Linked DNA regions of Pelodiscus sinensis. The protein of the gene in region 3 binds, or shares a complex with, the protein of the main gene of each other region. Links are inferred from orthologs where the notes say so. Each region holds a gene or a part of one and is shown on either strand. Other genes may lie near its edges. The genes, in order: GSK3B, SIAH1 and AXIN1.

The links.
Region 1: the proteins of AXIN1 (region 3) and GSK3B are in contact, whole or in part, in a crystal structure (PDB 4B7T), measured with the Homo sapiens proteins. The link is inferred for Pelodiscus sinensis from reciprocal best matches to the Homo sapiens genes AXIN1 and GSK3B. Residues at the interface, in NP_003493.1 of Homo sapiens: Glu384, Pro385, Gln386, Phe388, Ala389, Glu391, Leu392, Ile393, Arg395, Leu396, Glu397, Val399, Gln400; in NP_001139628.1 of Homo sapiens: Ile228, Phe229, Val263, Asp264, Leu266, Val267, Ile270, Lys271, Asn287, Tyr288, Phe291, Lys292, Phe293, Pro294, Gln295, Ile296.
Region 2: the proteins of AXIN1 (region 3) and SIAH1 are in contact, whole or in part, in a crystal structure (PDB 5WZZ), measured with the Homo sapiens proteins. The link is inferred for Pelodiscus sinensis from reciprocal best matches to the Homo sapiens genes AXIN1 and SIAH1. Residues at the interface, in NP_003493.1 of Homo sapiens: Pro378, Lys379, Glu380, Val381, Arg382, Val383, Glu384, Pro385, Gln386, Lys387; in NP_003022.3 of Homo sapiens: Cys130, Pro131, Ser154, Thr156, Leu158, Asp162, Ile163, Val164, Phe165, Leu166, Ala167, Thr168, Asp169, Val176, Asp177, Trp178, Val179, Met180, Asn272.

What each region holds. Positions count from the first base shown.
Region 1 is NC_134711.1:142,772,155-142,779,873, reverse strand, and holds the start of GSK3B (glycogen synthase kinase-3 beta), read right to left. Parts: upstream 3,058-7,719; 5' UTR 1,929-3,057; coding exon 1,841-1,928; intron 1-1,840. UniProt on the Homo sapiens protein: Constitutively active protein kinase that acts as a negative regulator in the hormonal control of glucose homeostasis, Wnt signaling and regulation of transcription factors and microtubules, by phosphorylating and inactivating glycogen synthase (GYS1 or GYS2), EIF2B, CTNNB1/beta-catenin, APC, AXIN1, DPYSL2/CRMP2, JUN, NFATC1/NFATC, MAPT/TAU and MACF1.
Region 2 is NC_134722.1:28,842,030-28,849,728, forward strand, and holds the start of SIAH1 (E3 ubiquitin-protein ligase SIAH1), read right to left. Parts: upstream 3,063-7,699; 5' UTR 1-3,062. UniProt on the Homo sapiens protein: E3 ubiquitin-protein ligase that mediates ubiquitination and subsequent proteasomal degradation of target proteins.
Region 3 is NC_134726.1:4,493,963-4,501,840, forward strand, and holds the start of AXIN1 (axin-1), read right to left. Parts: upstream 3,027-7,878; 5' UTR 2,920-3,026; exon of another isoform or gene 2,825-2,919; intron 2,708-2,824; exon of another isoform or gene 2,411-2,707; intron 2,342-2,410; exon of another isoform or gene 2,046-2,341; intron 401-2,045; 5' UTR 310-400; coding exon 1-309. UniProt on the Homo sapiens protein: Component of the beta-catenin destruction complex required for regulating CTNNB1 levels through phosphorylation and ubiquitination, and modulating Wnt-signaling.

The DNA.
Region 1 (7,719 bases), on a different chromosome or scaffold from region 3:
ATCTGTTGCTCCGTTTTTATATCCTTATTAAAGACACCAACAGGACTTGGAGCACAGGATAACAATGGCGGTGGATTATCACCATTGTGGGCCTTTAAATGCCACTGTATAACATGGTAGGAAAGCAATCGTATTTGTTATCTTGTTAGTTCACACCAATTTATGGGCATGCAGCTTCCTAAACTTTGACCTCATATATGAAGAAAGAATCAAATTAAACTTAAAAAAAAATAAGAGGAAAAGCTTAGGTTAGACCATTTTAGTTTCTGGTTTGACAGCTCTGGATCTAGGTCTATTTTACATAAAGTTATATGTAGAAACATTGATTAACACATCTTGCTTCCTCTTCTACTCTCATAGAAGGAGAATGAATGAGAATAAAATGGAGTCATACAATATTCTCCATATAAAAAGTGAAATGTGCTACTGCTACATCTAATCAACAGTACAGTCTTATGCTGCTAATATGGGCAAACTACTCAAAATCTGCAAAAGTACTTGAGGTATCCTGATCACGCAGACATGACAGGGTAGACTTCAAACCATAAACCCAACCTTTTTATTCAAAGCTCCTACCACAGCAGCAAAAGGCATCTCAGACTAGAAAATGCAGGAATCTGAGACAAAAAGAGCTCAAAATTAACCTAAAGCTTGCTGTAAACTAAAGCTCCACATATTCAAATAAAGCAACAGGATATGAATACAGCTTTGCCAGGTGTAAATATCAAAATGCAAGCCTCAAAATGATCAATTTAAATAATAGTAATGTATATCAGATGTTCAAGGTCCTTTTCATAAAGCCATCTAGATTTCTACAAGTGTGGAATTGAAGTGTCTTTGATTGGAAATTATTCACATAGATCACATAGAAAGATGAGCAAAACCATTTTACCTTTGCATATGAACAGATACAAGCCAGGAATAAAAAAAATCTGATTATAAATATGTAACAGCTTTAGAAATACACAATCAGGCCTTTTTCTTCCAACACTTCACCTTTTTGATTAATAGGATTTAAATATACATGTCTAATTCTCCTCAAAATCCCAATGCCATAACCGGAAGATCAAGGATTAGCACATTAAACCACTTACTCAATTTACAACATACATGTAATGCTACTGTTTAGAATGGGGCCACAGATCTCATTCTTTAACAAATAGCCCCAGTTCTGAAAGCTAGTGAAAAAGGAAATCCTGCATTCCCAACTCAATATGTGCACAATATATCATATTCAAGATTTCTCTCCCCCCCCCAGCACATTTAACAGAGCCTGAAACACAAGCTATTATGGGAAATAGACTGTTCTAAATCTCTGGGTAAGCCTGCACAAAAAAGTACTCGCACTCTAGTTATCAGTGCATATCTAGAGCAAACATTTCACTTTTCACAACAGAATAGGTTTAGAAGCATACAACTGTACAAATATGTATAATGAGCACATATGTGCACGTAATTCATTTCCTTCCCTCCATTGCTCCACAGGCAGAAACGCAGCACATAGCTCTTTAAAACTAAATTCGAACAGAAATATTCCCTTTAACAAGCAGGTCAAACTGACAACAATCTTGTTATAGACAAGAGACAAAAAGGCACAAAAGTATTTTTTGTTAAACAGGCCGAAATGGAAACCATGGGTGCCTATTCAAGGTTAATGAGGGGGAGTGAAAGGGAGAGAAAGGCGGCTGCCTCGTACGGTGCTAGAGACAGCCTAGCTCTTCTTCCACTGACCAGCCCAGAATTCTCCACACAATTAGGTTTACTGACAAACAGTGCAAATTACATTTAAAAAACCCGATGTTTAATCTGCACAGAGTGTAGGTGGGGAATCAATACTCACTGCTAACTTTCATGCTGCCAAACGCTGAAGGCTGCTGCACTGGTTTGCAGCTCTCTGCAAAGGAGGTGGTTCTGGGCCGCCCTGACATGGTCTCTTTCTCTCTCCCTCGGATCACCTCCTTTCTTTCTTTCTTTCTTTCGCCTTCTTCTTTTCCTGGTTTGCGTACGCGCGTCTCTCTCAGGTGGAGAGGGGTGAAAAATGCAACATTAAATTCCAGCCCCCTCCCCCGCGGGGGAACCCTCTCCGGGTCTCTCTTCTCAGGGCTGCTTCGCTCCTGCTTTATAAAACCATCCTCCCCAGCAGCACCACTGGACCCGACAGCTGCCTCCACCCAGCACACCAGTCCCCCCGGCGCTGCGTCTGCCGAGGGCCGGGAAGCAGCGGGGGGTCGCTAGGCCTTGCTGCCCCCACCCCGGGAGCCAGTCACATGAGGCGCAGGCGAGGGCCGAGCTCCTCTTCTTCCCTCGCCGGGTTTTCTCCTTCTCTCCCCTCGCCTCGTAGGGAAGCAGCAGCCACGGAACTATTTTCTTCGGCGGAGCGATCTCCGGGTCTGCTCGTTGCTCCTCGAGACCGAGGTGAAGGATGCGAACACGGAAGAGGATCCGGCGCGGGCGGTGGGATCCGCGGCGGGCGGAGTGAGGGGTGTGTGTGAAGCGGCCGGGCGGCCTCGCTCGCTCGGGCTCCTCAGTGCGGGGATGAGGCGGCGGCTTCGGCGCGGCTCCTCATAGCGCCCGCAGGGGCAGCGGGCGGCGGCTCGCGCCGGGGCGGCTGCAATGCGGGTGGCGGCCGGAGGCGGCGGCACAGGCCATGGCGGCGGCTCCCGGCCCCAACTCCTCCTCAGCCGGCTTCAGAGCCCTGGCGGCGGCCGCTCCCCGGGGCGCCCCGGGCACATGGGACCCGCCGGCCCGGCCGACTGCGCCTGCCGCTGTCCCCCGCGCCTCGTCCGGCAGCGGCTGCCTCCTGCCGGGAGCCCCGCGGCCGCCGCCGCTCAGTCTCTTTGTCCCCGCGGCCGCCGCTCCGTGCCCGGCTCCTGCCGCCGCTGCGCTGTGTGTGTGCGCCAAAGCCGCGCAGCCGCCTATCCCCGTCGCCGCCCTACGCTGCGCAACGGCGCTAGCCAGGCTCCGTGAATACCCAGCCCGACGCACTTGCCAGCCCCAGCCCGAGGCTCCCGCACGGCAACACCCGAAGCGCGTCGGGGCCAATCCGGCGCTGGGTACGGGCCCAGCCGCACCAGCGTGGGGCCAATCACCGAGCGGCAACGGCAGCATCTGGAATGCGTCGGAGCCAATCGCCAGGCCGCTACGGAAATAGCCGAACCAACCCGAAGATCATCAGAGCCAATCAGAAGCCGTTGCCTCCGCCCTAGCAGCCGCGAGAGCGGAGCCAATGGAAGGAGCAGTCTCTTCCGGCGGTTGCCGAGCGAATCCGATGATAGACGGAGTGGGCAAGCCAATCAGAAGCCGCTCGGTTCCCTACTTACCTGAGCTTTAAAGTGAAGCCTGGGCCGCTGAGCGGCTTTGGCTGTGATTGGGTAGCTGCGCTGTCATGTGATTGGCTACGCAGGATTAGGCGGCCCAATGACGTCATCCAACCCGTTCTCTGCGCGGTGCCAATCGCCAGCGTCGTCCGTCTGTTTCGAAACGCGGATCCCTATTGGAGAGGGGGCGGGCCTGGCCCATTCCCGAGGGGGGGGGGCCGCCCACATCCCCAGCCGTGAGCTGGGTGGGCAGCGGCCTGGCTCCAAGCTCCGCCCGCGCAGCTCAACGTGGCACCCGGCGGCCCGGCGCAGCAGCCTCGCGCGCGCCATGGTCTGCTGCACTGCGCACCCCCAAAGCCGCTCCTGGGTGGGGCCGGCGCGTGCTGCGGAGGCAACCCACGCAGTGCCCGTGCGCGCCAGCTGCACCGAGACAGCGGGACCCCACAGAAGGACACAGCTGCCAGGCGTGCTGCCTTTGCTGCTGTCCCTGCAGGGGCCAGGCCTGACCCAGGCATCACTCTGCACGTGTGCCAGTCCCTTCACAAGGGGGGGGGGAGACCTAGGTAGCACAGAAAGAGGGTGGAGGGGAAGCTGGCAAATGTTCAGCGTGCGTGTGGGGCAGTTGCATTAGGGCATGAGCAACACCATAGGCGTGCACAGCACATTTCATTAGGGTGTGCACCCAGAGAATTTTTTTTAAGGCGAAAATTCATTGAATACTTAATCATAAAGGACATTATTTGTATTCATCAAACAAACAAAAGAAACTAAAATTTAACTAAACTTAATTTTTTTTAAATGAACAACTAAACTTTACTTAAAAATACAGACTTAAGTATGGGACATTGTATACAGGCAGTCCCCGGGTTATGTACAAGATAGGGACTGTAGGTTTGTTCTTAAGTTGAATCTGTATGTAAGTCGGAACTGGTACATATTGTAGGGGAAACTCTAGCCAAACATTTCTCCAGAGCTCAGTTTTATTCTCCCACATCTCACTTCCCTCAGGCCTTTATTCTCAAGCTGAGGTGTCTGCTGAGAAAAGCTGCTCCGCATCTCCCTGGTCTGCTGGGGGGGGAGGGGGGGGGGAGGCGCGCTAGTTTCGTGTCTCCCTGGTCTGCTGGGGGGAAGCAGCTAGTGCGGGGTTGCCTCACCCCGTTTGTAAATAGGGATCCGATGTAAGTCGGATCCATGTAACCCGGGGACTGCCTGTACTTAGTTTGTTTTTTACATGTGCAATTTGGCGCTTATTGTATAATTCAGCAATCCATACTTTAAAACTAAAAGAGAGTATCATGCAATTAAATTAAAATGCAAAGCCACTTTTTTTTTTGAGACATTATAGGGTTACCAGGTAGTCTCAAAAAAAATACCAGACACACTTCAGTGGGGGGGAGGGACTAGCCGGGAGGGGAGCAGGGCTGGCCGGAGGAAGGGGGGGGCTGGATCCCAGGGCGCTCCCCCCCTGCACGGTTCAGGCGAAGCATGAGTCAGTCCAGCTGTGGCTCCACCACGCGCTTGACCAGCTCGCAGGATCACGGACCAGGCTGCCCTTCCTTCTCACACGGAACCAGGGCTCCCAGTGCCAATCGCGCCCCACCTCCTAGCCACTCTTTTCCCCCCACACACACACCAGGCTTCCGGGTGCCCAGTCGGAAAACCAGAAAATACCGGACATTGCACGTGTCCGGTATTTTCTGGATTATTTTTACCGGACAGAAAAACTGGACTGTCTGGTAGAAAACCAGACACCTGGCAACCCTAAGACATTACACACGTCAGTGGGCAACACCTACAGCTGCTCCCCGAGTTGCGAACGGTCGAATTACAACCATTCGCACTTACTATCAAAGCTCCGATGGAGTAGTCGTAAAGGCAATCCCTGAGTTACGAACGCGACCCATGCTTACGAACAGTGCGGTCGCGTGTAATGAATGGATCAAGTTATGGCCAAGTGTTTGGTCCGTAACTCGGAGAGAGGCTGTACATGCTTTGTGCTAGTAAAGCTTGTCCATCAAAGTACACCTTTGTGTGTTCTCTGTGTGTAGCAACTGGAACTCAAATAAATGTTTCAAAGCATTTCCTCTTCATCAAAGAGTTTAAACGGGGTAGTGGAGTTACTTTTATGAAACTCTTGCCTTTAACGCCAAATGCCTAAATTACCTTGTGTTTGGACAGGGCTCAGAGGGATTAATAAAAATCTCTTAAATGTCCAGAAATAGTTATATGTAACAATCTCATGATTTAAGTATAGAGTCTTGGGAATTTCCTAGAAGCAAGTGTTGGAGGAACCTAAGGAAGCTGTGAATCTTCTGTGCTTAATTATGTGAAGTTGCCATTCTTGTTTCTGCCAAACTATAAAAAATAAGATTTTCAATCTGTCACTGTGACTGCACTGAATCATGCTAGTCCTAGGCCTTGAGTAATTTTTGTAGAGAAATTCCACATTTCGGGAAAGGAGACATTTCTGTGAAAGGTTGCTTTTTAAAAAACAAGATTACTATTTGAAGCTGATTGGGAAAGCTGGAAGTAGCCTTCAATTATCAGGCAGAGGGGAACAACACAAGTTGACAAATGGTGTGTGATAAACTGCACACATGATAAAGTTTGAAACTAATTCAAAATGGTATTGGTCAGCACTTAGGCTACGTCTAGACTGGCATGATTTTCCGGAAATGCTTTTAACGGGAAAGTTTTCCGTTAAAAGCATTTTCGGAACAGAGCATCTAGATTGGCACAGATGCTTTTCCGCAAAAGCCCTTTTTGCGGAAAAGCGTCCGTGGCCAATCTAGATGCGCTTTTCCGCAAAAAAAGCCCCGATTGCCATTTTCGCAATTGGGGCTTTTTTGTAGAAAACAAATCTGGGCTGTCTACACTGGCCCTTTTGCACAAAAGTTTTGCGCAAAAGGACTTTTGCCCAAACGGGAGCAGCATAGTATTTCTGCAAAAACACTGACAATCTTACATGAGATCGTCAGTGCTTTTGCGGAAATTCAAGCGGCCAGTGTAGACAGCTGGCAAGCTTTTTCCGGAAAAGCGGCGGATTTTCTGGAAAAACTGACCAGTCTAGACACAGTCTTAGTGTATCTCAGAGCACAGGGAAACCTACTGCTGGTTTTATCACATGGCTATCAAACCTCATGAGCAGGCATGGAACCCACCTATCAAATCTGCTTACCAAAAACTTAAAAAAAAAGAGTGAGGCTGCTATATTTATATGTTAAAACTCTCCTTAATTTCAACCTATAAATGTTTTTGCCAGTGTAGCTTATACTATTTTGCTGAACAAAACAAAAGCACTTTTTGCCACTATAACTGTCTACTCTTGGATTTTTCCCAGTATAGAAATACTGAGGAAAAAAAATCATGCCCCTAACCAAAATTGCTATACCAGCAAATATTTGTAATTTAGATCTCGCCAAACGTAACTAAAACCCTATCCTTTACATTACAACAACTTTATTTCCAAGTAGGAATGCTGCTTCAAAAATAAATTAGTTGACTCCAAATTTTCCTGTTCAGCACTTTGCTCATGCCAGTGCAGCCAAAGATGCTTGCTAGAAGCATTCTAACCTTTTTGGGGGGGAGGGGGAAGGGGGAGGGGGGAGATGACTTATGTTTCTAAGTAGTCCAAGGGACCAGAAATTGTTTAAGGTCTGAAACTCTAATTCTGTACTACTGAAAAGCTAAACGTTCCATTATTTCAGTAGGTGCTATATCATTTATAGAAGCTAGGTTGGTATACCATTCTTAAATGATAGCTCAGCCTTCCTAAATCCCACCAGTAAAGCAACAGAACCCTCTCATCACCCAAATGCCTCCCTTCTGGGGCACTTTCATATCCATCCCCCTTAAGGATCCACCATTCAGAGCTCAATCCACTCAACAACCCACCAATCAGAAATTCACATCCTCTTGCCTTTTCTTGTGCTGTAAATCAACTCTTAATAGTGTCCTACTCCAACCAGGAGCAGGGAAAGTTATTTACATGATTTGGACTGCAGAATGGTTTGGTCATGGTCTTTTAAATCTAAGAAAATTAAATCGTTATATTCAAATATCCACTGTTTAGGTCTCTATAGGTGCATCTACACAGCAAAGTTTTTTTGCAATAATGGCTATTATTCTGAAATAACTTTGCAAGCGTTTACACAGCAATAGCATTATTTTGACATAATTTTGAAATAACAGGAGGCTTATTCTGACTTCTGTAAACCTCATTCTAAGAAGAATAATGCCTATTCCGAAATAGTTATGTGCCCTGCCCTGCTGACTGGAAGCCCCACCCACACTCACCCAGGGCTGACCTTGCTGAGTAGGTAGGGCAGCAGCAGGCAGAGGCAGACAAGGGAGGAGCGGGCAAGGAGGGGGGGGCATGGCAGCTGCGCAACCCACCATGATC
Region 2 (7,699 bases), on a different chromosome or scaffold from region 3:
ACTGTTCTGTTTGAGCTTCTCTTACCACCAGCCTGGGCGCACGGAAAAAGGAGGAGGCGGAGAAAGCAGACGGCAGCTCCTGCGTGCTGCCTTTCCTTCCCTCCCCCAGGCCCAGGGAGCCACCCTGGCATATCGACCTCATGTGATCAGCCGAGATGGCTGTGCCGTCAGCAAAACACATTCCGAAACGCCGGGAAAGAATGGGTGGTGCCCCACCTACCTACAACGCGCTAGAAACTCGCTCGCTGCTACTTTTAGAAGCTACTTCAACTGCCCCGTATAAAATACGCTGCGGAATTTTAACTGATTAAAGCTGTTTCCAACAGCTGATAACTGAATTTCTTGCTTTTCCTGTACATGAGTATTCTGAGTAGCAGCCAACAGGCTTACACAACACCACAACCACAATTTTGTATACCTATTTGTAACAGTATTATTCTAACCTATAAATCCACTTTGAAAATGTGACGTTAAAGCATGTAAGAGAGAAAAGCTATGAAGTATTGTCCCCCACAAGCCCGTAAGAGAGTTGCCAACTTTCTACTTCCACAATAAAAGCACCCTGCCTCTGCCCCTTCTCCAAGGCTCCACTCCCACTTGCTCCCCCTCCCCCATCTCTCATTTTATGGAGGCTGGGCTGCCCTGGGGATAAGGATTCCAGCTGGAGGTTCGGACTTTTGGGATAGGGGTAGGGATTTGAGGGTTAGAGGGATACTCTGGGCTGGGACTGAGGCATGGGGGAAGACAGAGGGTTGTAGCTCCAGGAGGAGGTACAGGCTCTGGGATGAGACTGAAGATGAGACGCTTAGGGTGCAGGAGGAGGCTTTAGCCTAGTATCAAAGGGTTCAGTGAGTGGGAGGGAGGTTGGGGTAGGCTGAGCTCAGGGATGCAACCTCCTTACTGCTTAACTCAAGCAGCTCCTGGAAGCAACAGCATAACTGCATCAGCCCTACTATCCAGTTGGTGGCACTTTTAATAGGGAGGGTTGCCAGATGGTTTCAACAAAAAAACGGGACGCACTTGACATTACATCACAAACTACATTACATCTTATTTAGACACTGGACATTTATATTTTCTCTGTTTCCCGAACAGAAAGCTCAAATACTGGACTGTCCGGTTCAAACCCGGACACCTGGCAATCCTAATAATAGACTAGTCATTGGTACTGACCAGAGCCACTAGGGTCCCTTTTTGACTGGGCAGTCCAGTTGAAAATTGGATAGCTGGCAGCCAGTAATCAGATTAGTTTTACTGATTTGCTTCTGACACTTGGGTGGTAATGAATTGTAAATGTGTTAAACTTCCTACATAAAGACTATTCCAGAAGGCAGAGGAACCCAGGCAAGAGTGCAGAAAACAGGTGTGTGGGAAGATTCCATGGAGCTGTTAAGAAATGGCACAGTTTTTAAACTTAAGAACGGCCATCTAGTCCAGTACCCTGTCTGCGGACACTGGCCAATACCAGATACCCGAGAGGGAGGGAACGCAACAGGTAATCATCATGTGATCCCTCTCCTGTCAACCATTTCCAGACAAACAGCGGCTAGGGACACCGCTAATAGCCGTTGATGGACTTAACTTCCATGAATTCATCTAGCTCTTTTTGCAACCCTGTTAAAAGTCCTTGTCTTCACAACATACTCTGGCGAGAAGTTCCACAGGCTGATTGTGCTCTGTTTGAAGAAAATTTCCTTTTGTTTTAAACCTGCTACCTATTTATTTCATTTGGTGACCTAGTTGTTCTATTGTGGGAACAAGTAAATAACTTTTCCTTATTTACTTTTTCCACACCATTCATGATTTTATAGATCTCTATAATATCCCCGCACGCTCCCCTTTTCTAAGCTGCAACGTCCAAGTCTTTTTAATCTCTCTTCAAATAGGACCCATTCCAAGCCCCTAATCATTTTTGTTGCCCTTTTCTAAACCTTTTCCTAATGCCCAGGGCTCGACAAACCACTGTTTCTACTCGCCCATGGTGAGTAGATTTCAGCTGGTCGCTCTGTGCACCCCATTCACCGGCGCTACACACATGCGCAGTGCCGGTCTGGAACATGCGCGGTGTGGGGCTGGCGAGTAGCTCTCACCGCAGTTTGTCAAGCCTTGCTAATGCCAATATAACTTTTTCGAGATGAGCTGACCATTTCTGTACCCAGTATTCTTGATCCTCACACAAGTGGAAAAAATCAAGTTGATGCAGCTGAACTTATCCAGTACTGAACATACTGGATTCTGGAAAACTGGCACCTGGGATTACTGTAAAAGTACGTGAAACAGTAATAGTGAAGACATAAAGGCACATTTTAAACACAAACATAGTAAATCTGTAAACCCAAGATTTCCAAGAGCAAACAGAGGTTGCCTGCAAAAGGGCAAAACATTGTGTATGAGTTCTATAATGTATAAAACGTCCAAGTTTTTTTTTTTTTTTTTTTAAAGGAAAAAAGTGTTTCCCACTACATTAGAAATTCAGAGTTTGACCACCCTTGTTTTTTCCCTGGAAGACTACAGAAAACTATTAGAACTGTATATCAGTTCAAGACAACTGCTCCTCTCAGTGGTCCAAAATGGGCACTCAATCACAGGCTTCCAGCTCTCCCAGTTGTAGCCTCTTTTAGCTGGAGACCCATGTCTCACTCCCTTCTGATCAAGGAATGTCCTAGAAAAACATTTTCCTTCCTTCACAATGCACTTCCCATCAAAGACCCTCTGCCTAAACAGATATGTTTGCTTTCCCTTAATATACTGATAATAGTGATGATCAGTTATAAAAGGTAAAAACATTCTAGAAAATATTCTTTCAAAATGAAAAAGCCTACATGCATGCTAATAAAACTTAACCCTAACATGAATTCTGGCAGGCTTAGTCCTTAACCCTACCCCAATGAGTGCTGGCATAATCATAGGTCGATATTCGCAAAAGCTTCTATTTAAACATAAATTGAAGTGTGATACACGTAACTGTTAAAGTGACCATGTCTCTAACTGGTTACAAAAATCATGATTTAATCTGGTGCTGACAGGACTGTAGGATATTAGGAATTGTGCTGATATTTTTAGTCGTAATAGCTATATTTCACCCACATTTCCAGAGGTTTCAGAAGTCCAACGGCTCCTCCTAGCTGACAAAATCTCTAGCTTCTTCATCAACTTTTATTTTTATGGAAAAAAAAGGGAGAGAAAAACAAAAAGTACAGCTGAGTGGGCTGGAAGTATCCCATACTTAGTTTTTTTTATGTAAATGAGGTGTTAAATGCATGGAAAGCTGATTTTATACAGCAGCACAACAATTGGCAGGTACTCCTTCCCCATCACCCCCCTCCCCGCCTTCTTTTTCCGTTATAAATTCTGGATTCCAATTTCAGCGCATCTGAAAGAGTGGGTTTTGCCCAAGAAGGCTCAGGGCTCTCTCGATAAAGATATAGATATAGATATAGATTCTCTAAGGTGCCACAGGACTACTCATTGTTTTTAAAGTTACAGATTAACATGGCTAACTTTCTGAGACTTTCATTTTGAAGAATTAAGTTCTGGTTTGCAATGGAATCTTAAATAGTTGAGATAAAGAGTTAAACAGCAGTCCAGTCTCATACAGAAAGGTAAGCTTAGCAACAGTTCAGATAGAAAGCTAGTCACGCTTACTACTTATTAGAGTCAAATTTCACTCAATTGACCTTCAATAACAGTTGTGGTGTCTCTAGACTGCACATGACAGTTACACAAACTTCTGAAAGTCAGATCAATTATAAATTTTAATAATTCCCATTCACTTTCAATAGTCATGGAATTATCCTGATGTACATTTGTGTCTGATATGTTTCCCTCTTATTTATTACAGAGTTATACAAAAGTCAACAACTGTTGTCATTTCCAGAACTTGTGTCAGGGAGCTATAGTCTCTTTACACAAACCCCTCTTGCATACAAAAGTTGGTTTAATATAATAAAAAAAAGAGTTACCTAATGCAGTATGAACCAACCACTGACAGTTGCAAAATAAGGACTATTCTAATAAAAAAAGATCATTTACACAAGACATGTACCAGTTCGGAAAGTCAGTGATTTAAAGATTATGGATTTAGAGAATTTTTCTGTGTTCTTCCTACACCATGTTTTCACACTTGAAGAGCTCAAAAATGCAAACTGTTGATTCTGCAGTATTCAGAGCTATGGACTGCATTATCAATTCTGAAATACTGTCTAGTGAAAATCCAGTGTCAACTATTTTATATACAGGCAGTCCCCAGGTTACGTACAAGATAGGGACTGTGGGTTTGTTCTTAAGTTGAATTTGTATGTAAGTCGGAACTGGCGTCCAGATTCAGCCACTGCACCCAGCTGCTCTACTCCAGGTATCCACATGTCAGCCGCTGCTGAAACTGATCAGCGGCTGATTACAGGAAGCCCGAGGCAGAGCAACTCTGCCCCAGGCTTCCTGTAGTCAGCCGCTGGTCAGTTTCAGCAGCGGCTGAATCTGGACGCCAGTTCCGACTTACATACAAATTCAACTTAAGAACAAACCTACAGCGGCTGACTTGGGGACGCCTGGGGCAGAGCAGCTGGGGTGCTGCCGGGTTGGTCCAGTAGCGCCGAGGAGCGGCGCTGCGGGACCAACCCGGCAGCACCCCAGCTGCTCTGCCCCAGGCATTGTCGGCGAGAAAAGCCTGGTCTGCTGGGGGGAAGCGGGGGGGGCGCACACTAGCTGCGCCTCTCCTCCCCAGCAGACCAGGAAGACGCGGGTGGCGGTCCCGCCGAGACGCACCGTGGTCCCGCCCGCATCCTCCGCGGCTTTGCTCCACGTCTCCCTGGTCTGTTGTGGGGAGCAGACCAGGGAGACGGGGAGCAAAGCCTCGGAGGACGCCTGCAGCGGGATAGCCACGGTGCGTCTGGGCTGTCCTGCTGCCCACGTGCTCCGCGGCTTTGTTCCGCGTCTCCCTGGTCTGCCGGGGGGGGGGGCTCCCCCCAGCAGACCAGGGAGACGGGGAGCAAAGCCTCGGAGGATGGTGGCAGCAGAACAGCCGCTGCGCATCTGGGCGTCCTGCCGCTCGCGTCCTCCGGGGCGAGAAAAGCCCCGTTCGTAACTGCGGATCCGACATAAGTCGGATCCACGTAACTTGGGGACTGCCTGTAATCGGGTTAGACTCACTTATTACACTATAATTGATAATGTAAAGGTGTATTAAACTAAACAAAAACAAGGTACTCTTATTCAAGAACAGGAGTAACTCTAGAGATGCAAGAGTTTAACCAATAAGCATTATCTTATCAGTTAACCTTACTAATTAAACTCCCAGCAGTCTGTGGAGCATTTAACAGACTGAAATTCAATCCACTAATAGTTTTGTTTGTTTTTAAACATCTGCAGCATTTACACATATTATTCTGGGATAGTAGTTTCTGAATAACTCCCACTGCAGACAAGCTCTAAACTTGCACTCTAAAGAACAGATTCTACAAAAATAAAGCTATAAACATAAGACTTGCTAATAAATAGTCATCTTTTTAATTCCACATGATGCTTGATATTGTTTTAACTTTTAAAGAAACATCCATTATAAAGTAATCAGCAGTTGGCTTTGTGTGATGATCTCAAGATTATGGGCTACTAACACTTTTTTCTTTTTAACAGAATATCATAACCAATGATTTAATCTCTGTGTTATTGGTGTTGGAGTGTGCCTAACCAGCCAATCCAAGTTTCACAACACACAAGATTACAGGGAACTGATTAAATTAAATATACGCAGTTAAACTTGGAAAGCATCCTATTACCCATGATGCACAGGAAGTTGAAAGTCCTCCAAAATCACTAAGGGAAAATTACCATCTAACCCCAGATACTGCAAGTAGTTGGACCCTGAACAGGAGGAATAACCAGCAAATTAAGTACCTGAGACAGAGAATGCTTGGGGCCCTCTCAGTGCTCCATTTCAGCCTTTTCAGTGTCCTATCTGCAAAAACGGCCTTCTCTGATGCTTCAAAGAAAGGAAACAAAAAACCTCTGCAATACATCACAGAGGAAAAATCCCTTCCTGATCTCTTCAGGTAGCTGTCTGAAGCCTTGAAACATAAGTTTTAAGAACGTAATACATAAACCGAAATAAACCCTCTCAGAACTGCTACCCCCTACTCCCCACCATCACAAAAATACTCTATCAACACTTATATTTGGGCCTGCCCTCTCGCAAAAGTTTGTTTGTTTGGTCTCATCTCCCAGTAGGGCTGAAGGCTATTCCAAAACCTTACTGCTTGGAAGGTTAGAATCCTTCTACTTTCTATCCTGAATTTGTTCATGACCAATTTATACCCATTTATTCTTCTGCCAACACTGTCCCTTAGCTTAAATAGCTCTTCACCATCACTGGTACATACATACGTGTATACACACACACAAAGTGTATTTAGAGAGACTAATCATATCCACCCTCTTTTTGCTGTTGCTAGACTAAACAAAACAAGCTCTTCCAAGCTCCTCAGATAGGTTGTCTACTCTCCTATTCATCACAGTAGCACTTCTCTGCATCTGTTCCAGTTTCAACACATTTTTTAATACAGGCGATCAGATGTATACAGTATTCCAGATTCCCTCCAGCAGAAATACCTCACCTGATACATCCTCAAATCACATTTGCCTTTTTCTGCAGCCACATATTGGTTTCTTATTGTCATTCAGTGATTGACCAGAACACACCCAGATCTTTCCCTAAATCTGTGGCTTCCAACTGGTAATCCTCCAGCTTGTAGCAGAAATTAGTAGACCCTAAATGCATGACTTTCTACCTGTGTTCAATTGAATTTACTCTGGTCTTCAAGGTCATCCAGACCTACTTCATTCAAAGTTGAAAAAACAATTAGGAGATGGAAGAGGAGTGGATCAGATCTAACTGAAAAACAAGACCAGTTTTTTAAAAGCTATCTTATGAGCTGGATGAAACCTAATTTTTGGTTAAGTTAAAACCTCATTTGACTGAGGGGGTGTTAATGCACCCTTCAATTAACGTAACTGGAAGGATAAGCCACCACCTAGGACCAAAAAAACAAAAAACAAACAAAAAAACAACCAATAAAAACCCAACAACCCAGCATTTCTTTAAGGAAAGTTGAGGAGCAGAACGCAGAGGGAGAAATAGTAACTAAGGGTATGTCTCCACAGTCAAGAAAAAACATGCATATGGCTCGTGCCACCCGAGTCAGGCTTGTGGGGCTCGTGTGCGGTTTTATTGCTGTGATAAGTTTTGTGTGCATGCTAACAAGTGTTTTCTTGGTGCTGAGAACAAGAAAAGATGTTCTCTCCTATTCGATTCCTCCTTTGTTCGGTGAGATCTACATACATTCCTTGTAAATGAACAAAATTGGATCAAAGAAATACCTAGCTATCACCAATTTCTCATCTTAACTGAAATATCCTAGGGCCTCAAACTCTGACTAGCCATTCAGGTCAAAAGAAGGCAGTGCTAGTGTCAGGTGTGAGCGTTAGCTTCTAAGACAGACTTGCTGAAAAGGTACACTTGTTGAAAAGGGGAAAAATGATAGCAGTGCTCACAGAAATGTAAAAATGGTCTAAACCAGTGGTGTACAACCTTTTTCGGTTGGGAAACCCAGCTGTAACACATGCCCCCAGAAATGGTAAAATGGATTATCAAAGTGACCAGTAATCTGACTATCACAGACCATAATTTTTTTCATGAAATAGTGGA
Region 3 (7,878 bases):
CCTGAACAGATTTATCCCATCTTGATCATCCAACAAGGAGTGCAGCGACTCGGCCCATCTCAAGTAGGGTGGAGTCGGAGAAGCACTCCCTTCAGGCTCGTACCCCAAATCCAAATCAGAGCGCCTTGGGGTTGCTGTAGAAGTCTCATTTTTAATCACGTCACTTTTCCCAGAATAGAAGCCATGGCTGATTGGCCTTGGATCCGTAGAAACTAGCTCACCCTCCTCACCAGGGACCGGTGGCCTTGGAGCATCTTCGGTGAAGCTTCCCCCAAGATCCAAAGGGAAGCCTTTCCCGTGGATATTCATTTTTATGGTGCCTGCTTGCACAGAAACAAGGAGGGACCAGGCTAAGCCTCAAAACACCAGTATCAGGAGTTCCAGAGTGAATGTGTTTGTCCTGTTGAAACAAAACGAGAACAAAATTAAAAATACTGCAGACAAAAATTCTAACGTGACTATTTTTAGAGCACGCCAATATTTCTATTACAGAGGTACTGAAACAAACAATCCTAAAAGGATTTATATATTTCATAAAGAGGAGATTTACTTGAATTTTAACATGTATATCCTAAACTCATAAAATAAGCAGTAGTTTTACATAGCTAAATACTAGGTAAATTCACATCTCCATAACAATTTTGGAATTTCTTTCAGAGTATGAAAAAATTCTCTGAAAATACTCCCAATTAGCACTAAAAATCAAGAATATAATGTAATCAAGCCATATACGTTCCAATACAATCACCATTACACACTATGAAATTCCCCTCCAGTCCTTGGCACATTTTGACATCACCTCAGCACTTGAAAAGCATTTTGAGCATTAATTAGGGTAAGTGAATAATATCCCTTAGTGAAATTAAAAGCATCATCATTCCCAGAATATTTTGCATATTTCTCAATGACACTCCTGTAATAAAGGAACATAATGTAAAAATTGTGTGTATGGCACAGCACTATTGAATATATCATCATACTTCATGGAGCAGGAGCTATTTACTGAAGTTTCACATAAGCTAACAAACATTATTTGCTGCTGACCCTGAGAACAGTCCTAGCCACCACCTGAGAAGAAATAATCAAACAATATTTAAAAAAGTAATTTGAACCAACATGGTGCAAAAAAAAAGGTATGTCTGGAGACAGGAGTAGAGTTGTACAACCTCTGGTACCTACTTGTGTACTAAATCAATATAACCTAAATTCTTTCAAGACACTAACAAAAGTTGAGTGTTACAAAATAATTCTGGGTCAACTAAAAAACCTGCAAAAGTGGCGAGGAATCCTGTGGCACCTTATCGACTAACTGAAGTGTAGGAGCATAAGCTTTTGTGGACAAAGACCCACTTCGTCAGATGCATGTGAGTCATGCATCTGACGAAGTGGTCTTTGCCCACGAAAGGTGCCACAGGACTCCTCGCCGCTTTTGCAGATTCAGACTAACACGGCTCCCCCTCGGATAAAAAACCTGAATGCTGTAAAGCTGCAGCTGTCTCACAGAGCACTTCTTTAAATGGACTAACTCAACTGCATGTGAAAATATACCAAGGGAAATAATTGTGAAATAAAAGCCACTCTCACAAAGCAAAGCCCACACAAACCAATGCATCTTTTGGACAACTTTCCCCGAGCTGAACAAATACAGCTAGAAGGTGCCCTTCCTGGCCTTCAAGACACCCGACAGTTTGCGCATCATCACAAAACAAGACAACATGGGAAACAACCAGGCTGAGTGATTTTAATTCCCAGGTAACTGTGGGTTTCAACTGGCTTTGTGATCCTGAGGCCAAGAGATACAGTTACTCAGCACAGCTACTGGGCCAAAACACACACGCGCGCTATGCTGAGGTTTGCCTGAACACCTGCAATTTCGGATCCAATCATTCCGCCCTCTGCCCCGTTCGCGGTGCGTTTCTCGTCCCTACGAGAGCAGCCAGGCCCCGGGGTTCATCCGAGCCCCACCACACGGACCCGCGAGTCCCCGGCCCCCCGTGAAACGTCGCCCCCTTTCCCAGCGCGTTGCCTCGCTCGCCCGCACTGACCCACAAGCCATTTTGCTCCGAGGCGCGGGCCAGGCCCGGGTGCGACTCGCCAGGCCAGGGCGCCCCGGCCCACGCCGCGGGGACACACGCGCCGCCTGAGGGCCCGGCGCGGGATTTCCAGCCTGTCACCTCCCCCTGCGCGGATCGGGGCTCCCGAGGGGCGGCCGCTGCCTCCCGGCTCCCCGGCCGGGCGCTGACAGCAGCCGCGGCTCCGCCTGAGCCGGCAGGACGCGGGGCCCGGGACCCCCGGAGCCCGGCCCCCCGCACGCCCGGCCCGGCCCCAGCGGCCTAGCGGCGGCCCGTCCCGGCGGCCCCACAATGGGGCGGCCTCCCGGCTCGGCCTGGGCCTGGCTCCGCTCGCTCACCCGCTCGGAGCAGCCGCGGCGCGGGGCCCGGCCCATGCGGCTCAGCCGCGGCGGCAGGCGGGGAGCGCGGGCGGCGGCCGCCGGGGAGCAGCGCAAGGCGGGCGGCCCGGGACCCCCATGGCCGCGGCCGCGGGCTCTGGCGGCGACACGGAGAGCGGCGAGCCCCGCACGGCTCAGCCCAGCCGGGAGAGACCGGCTCCGCCGCGCCCCCCGCGCCTCCGCCCGGTACTGCGGGAGAGCCCGAGCCCGCCGCGGGGCCGGGAGCCCGAGCCGGGGGGCGCAGCAGGGCCCCGGCGGCTGAGGAGGAGCGGGCGCCTGCAGCGCGGCGGGGAGCCCGGCCGAGCCCGCTCCGGTTCCCCGGCGCTGGGAAGACGCGGAAACGTCCGAACTGTGCCCGGAAAACGCAAAACCTGCCTCTCGGCGAGCCGCGGACCTGGGCCAGCTCCCGGGGCGGGGATCTTCTAAGCGGCATCAAACCCCCCCGTCCCCATCTCCGCGGCCACAGGCACCTTCAGACAGGCAACCCGAGCGTGTCCCCGCAGCAGCCTGCAGGGAGAAACGCCACCAGCGCGCTCGGCTCCATCCCCGGCTTCCCATTAGCTACCTCTGCAGCTGCTGCACACGCCTGGCTCCTGATAAGGAACAGGCTCCAACTCTTTCCTCCCGCCTCCAGTCCTAGGTCCTGGGAGTCAGGAGGGACCAGGGAAGGGGGGAAAGGGAAGGCCACAGCCTCAGAGACCCAAGTTGGTACCTTGGCTCCAACTGCAAACACTTCTGCGGTGTGGCAGAGGAAAGCCCTGGTGGGACTGAGGCAGAGGCACAAAAGCTAATGCTAGGCCCTAGCTCCTGGAGTCCTGGTAATCTCACAATCTCTGTTTTAGTAGACACAAACAGTTAGGTTGTGTCTACATTGGCATGATTTTGCGCAAAAGCGAGCGCTTTTACGCAAAAACATGCTGCCTCTCTACACTGGCGGGGAGTTCTTGTGCAAGAACACTGACTTCTAATGTGTGAAATCAGTGCTTCTTGCGCAAGAACTATGATGCTCCCGCTCAGGAAAAAGGCCTCCTCTTGCGCAACTGTTCTTGCGCAAGAGGCCAGTGTAGACAGGCAACATGCTTTTCTTGCGCAATAAACCCCGATGGCTAAAATGGCCATCGGAGCTTTCTTGCGCAAGAGAGCGTCTATACTGGCACGGATGCTTTTGCGCAAAAGCACATCTCTTGCGCAAAAACACATGCCAGTGTAAACGCTCTCTTGCTCAAATACTTTAACGCAAAAACTCTTGCGTTAAAAGTATTTGCGCAAAATCTTGCCAATGTAGATGTAGCCTGTACGTCTAGCCTGCCTGGGTGGAATTGTTTGAAAACAGGGCAGAAGCGTCACGGATGCCAGAGTCTGCAGGGAGCCTGACTCAATAACTCTGAGGAGGGGATTATGGTCTGTGCACCCCGCAGTGTGAGCCCCCCTGCTCTGAGGGGCTTGGCCCACCCACTTCAGGTGCTGGGACAAGAACAGGAGAAACCTGTTGCTCACAAAAGGGAGGAAAACTTGCTGCTGCTTCTAGGCAAGAAGTGGGCTCCGTGCTGCTGTACCTGCCTCTCCAAGCGTGGAACTGAGGGCACTGCCACGTCAAGTGCGCAAATGGGGCCACAGGGGCCAATTGTGGGGCTGTTCCCAAAGGCCTGGAGAGCCTTCATCCAACCCAGCCCTGGTGGGAGACCCGAACAGAGCGATCATCTTTGCTGATTGCAGTAAGGGAAAAACCCTGTGAAAAACAAGGGACAAGGCTTTATTTGAAGGGACATTTCCCTTCACATCTGTGATTTTTCTCTTGTGTACATTTCTCCTGCCTGAAGCATACCAGGCAGTCAGTATCGGCTTCAATGTCGTGTCAAACGGTACTTATCCATTTTAATACATTTCAGTACACCTTAAAATAGAGCAGGGACAGGTTCCCACTTGGCTGTTGGGGTGAGATTCAGCTCTCAGGCTTCACAAATCAAAGAGGAAGAAGATGGACTTTGTGGACAGCGGGCAAGATCCCTGTCCCCACAAAGGAGCCAGTGGACAGCCTGGGTCCGTCAGCTCTGACCCCAATTAGCTGGGTTTTTCCTTTTCTTTCCCTTTATTTGTTTGGTAGCTTGTTCCTTCAAATTAATAATAAAACTCAAAAAAAAATTCAATAGGCTTAGGAGCCTGGGGGTGGACCATGGAATGAGGATGCCAGCTACCCCAGTTACCGCTCTCCATAACAAAGTTAGGGCAGGATGAGCTGCCTGCCTTCCCTCCACCACCACCTGCCTTATCAAGTAGCTGCTCCCTAATGAGTCAGTTCTCATATAGCACCTAGTTCCAGCGCAGGATCCTGCTCGGCATGCTGGGAACAGGGGGGAGTAAAACAATCAGAGGCTGTGATTGGCTCAGACAGCAGGTGGGTTCCCTTCAGCCCCTGAAAGGGGCGCCAGTGACTCAGCTGATGTGCTGATGCTGGGGTGACTCAGATCCCAAGGGTGGGGGAGGGTGTAGAATAGTCCTGTTCTTTTTCTCCTAGTGGCTCTGATCAGAAGAACCTCAGCCAAGAAGGATCCCTTGGAAAGGTGCCAACCAGAGCAGTGCCCAGGGAAAGCCTCATTCTCCAGAAACCTCTCTGATTCCAGAGCTGAAGCTGGAGAAGGAGGTCTTATCAGATTCCCAAAGTTCAGTAGGCAACACAGTTTAATACCATGTGTCTGCCTGAAAAATAGTCCAAGCCTTACATGTGTGTCAGTGGAGGAGGGGATACTTGTCTTATCAGTCACTCTTTTCAGCTCAAACAGCTACACCTGGTTAAAAAACAGACAGTCTAGTCTCTGGCAGGGGTCTCAAGTTCCCAGCCCATGGGACATCTCTGGCTGGAGCAATTGCACAATCCAGCCTGGGACTCTGGCAGACTGGGGAGGGGGATTGTCCATTACGGGCCCCCAAGCCCCGCCCCTTCATGCCATCACTCCTCACTCCACCCATGGCACCCCATCCTGGAGGATGGGGCTTCAGGGATTATGGAGGGAGGGGGCCTGGTGTGGCTCAGTAGCAGTGGATGGGCCCCCCTCACTCCCTGCAGCAGCAGGAGTAGCAGGGGAAGTGGGGCACACTGGTCAAACGCACTCGCAGGTAGTATAAGGAGCATGCCCACTGCAACACCAGGCACCCTCCTCCCCATGATCCCTGAAGCCGCATCCTTGAGGGATGGGGTGCCATGGAGCGGGGAGAGGATGGGCAATAGTGGGAAGGGGCAGGGCTTGGGGCAGTAATGGACAGGTCCCCCACCAGGCATACTACACCATATTGCACAACTGCTCTGGCTGAGGATGGCCTGCAGGCTGGGAGTTTGAGACCTGTGGTCTCCGGTTTCCCTAGTCAGATTAAATATATTCTGCAGCTGGAGTCGACATACGTTCTCACCAAGAAGTGGCATTTTCGGGGAGCCATGTGAAAAGCAACATGCACTATAACTCTGAGAGGGGCATAATTGGAATCATGTTCTACCTAGATATAGACTGTTTTTTTAAAAAAAACCTAATGGTTAAATATAGGGCTGTCAACAAATCAGTTAACTCACACATTAGCTCAAAAATTGCAGCTTTAATCACACTATTGAACCATTGAATACCAACTGAAATTAAACATTTTGGATGTTTTTCTACATTTTCAAATATATTTATTTCTGTTACAACCCAGAATGGAAAGTGTACAGTGCTCCCTTTCTATTATTTTGATTGCAAATACTTGTACTAGAAAAATGATAATAGTATTTTTAAATTCGCCTCATGAATACAATGGTGCAGGCTATCATGAAAGTGCAATTTACAGATGTTGACATTTTTGTTAAATAACTGCACTCCAAAACAAAGTAAAACTTTAGAGTTTACCAGTCCACTTGTTCCTACTTCTTGTTCAGCCAATTTCTAAGATAAACAAGCTTTTTTTTCAGTTATGGAAGGATCTTACAAGAAGGAGGGAGGAAAATTTTTCTCCTTGGCCTCTGATGATAAGACAAGAAGCAGTGGACTTAAACTACAGCAAGGGAGGTTTAGGTTGGACATTAGGAAAAACTTCCTACTTGTCATGGTGGTGAAACACTGGAATAAATTGCCTAGGGGGGTTGTGGAATCTCCATCACTGGAGATATTTAAGAGCAGGGTTGGGTAGACATCTATAAGAGATGGTCTTGACCGTGTTTGGTCCTGCCATGAGGGCAGGGTACTAGATTGATGATCTCTGGAGGTCCCTTCAAAGTTCTCGTGTTCTATGATTCTATAAAGGTGCCCACCTATTTACAATGTTTCTTGAAAGTGAGAACAGGTATTTGCATGTCACTATTGTAGCTGCTATTGCAAGATGTTTATGTGCCAGATATGTTAAATATTCGTATGTCCCTTCATGCTTTGGCCACCATTTTAGAGGGCATGCTTCCATGCTGACAACACTTGTTTAAAAAAAGAGTGTTAACATTTGAGACAAAACTTCTTGGGGGAGAATGACATGTCTCCTGCTATATAGTTCACATTAGCGCAGTCTTGGATGATGACGCAGCACATGTTCATTTTAAAAACATTTTCCCTGCAGATTTGACAAAACGCAGAGATGGTAACAATGGGATGGCATCTGACTCACATGATGAAAATGAAAGTCAGCCTGCACTGCTTGGGATCTTTATCAAGCGGAACCTATTATCAGCATGGACAAATGTCCCCTAGAATGGCAGTTGAAGCATGAAGGGACATATGAATCTTTAGCACCTCTGGCATACATTGTGCTGCCGACTGTAGCAGTGCTATGTGAACGCCTGTTCTTTCTTTGAGGTGACAAGAAGAGGGCAGCATTATCTCCTGCAAATGTAAATAAAGTTGTTTGCCTGAACAAGTGGTTGAACAAGAAGTAGGCCTCAGTGGACTGGAGTTTTATATTGTTTTGTTCTTGAGTGCAGTTTTTTTTTGTCCACAATTATAGATGTGTAAGTTCAATTTTCAGGATAAAGAGATTGCACTACTATACTTGAATTAGATTAACTGAAAATACTATATGTTTTTAATTACAATATTTGCACTCTAAAAAACAAACGTGAGCACTTTACACTTTGTACTCTGTGTTGTAATGCAAATCAATATATTTGAAAGTGTAGAAAGCATCCAAACCTGTTTAAGTAAATGGTATTTTATTATTGTTTTAACAGCACAATTAATCACACTTTTTTTAATCGCTTGCCAGCTCTAGTTAAATGTTACCACATTTAAATGTGTAATGTTTCCAGGCTCAGGAAGAGTTCTGCACAGAAAGGCAGCTCTGTGCCTATTACTCATACATGTGGGTGTGGGGGTGTTAGCCGGGAGAGATTTGCTCTACCAGGTAATCGCAGCTGAATAGAGCTTTTCCTGTTTAAAATGCAACGCTTCTCTGAAAAGCGACTGTACAAACACCCCGCTCTG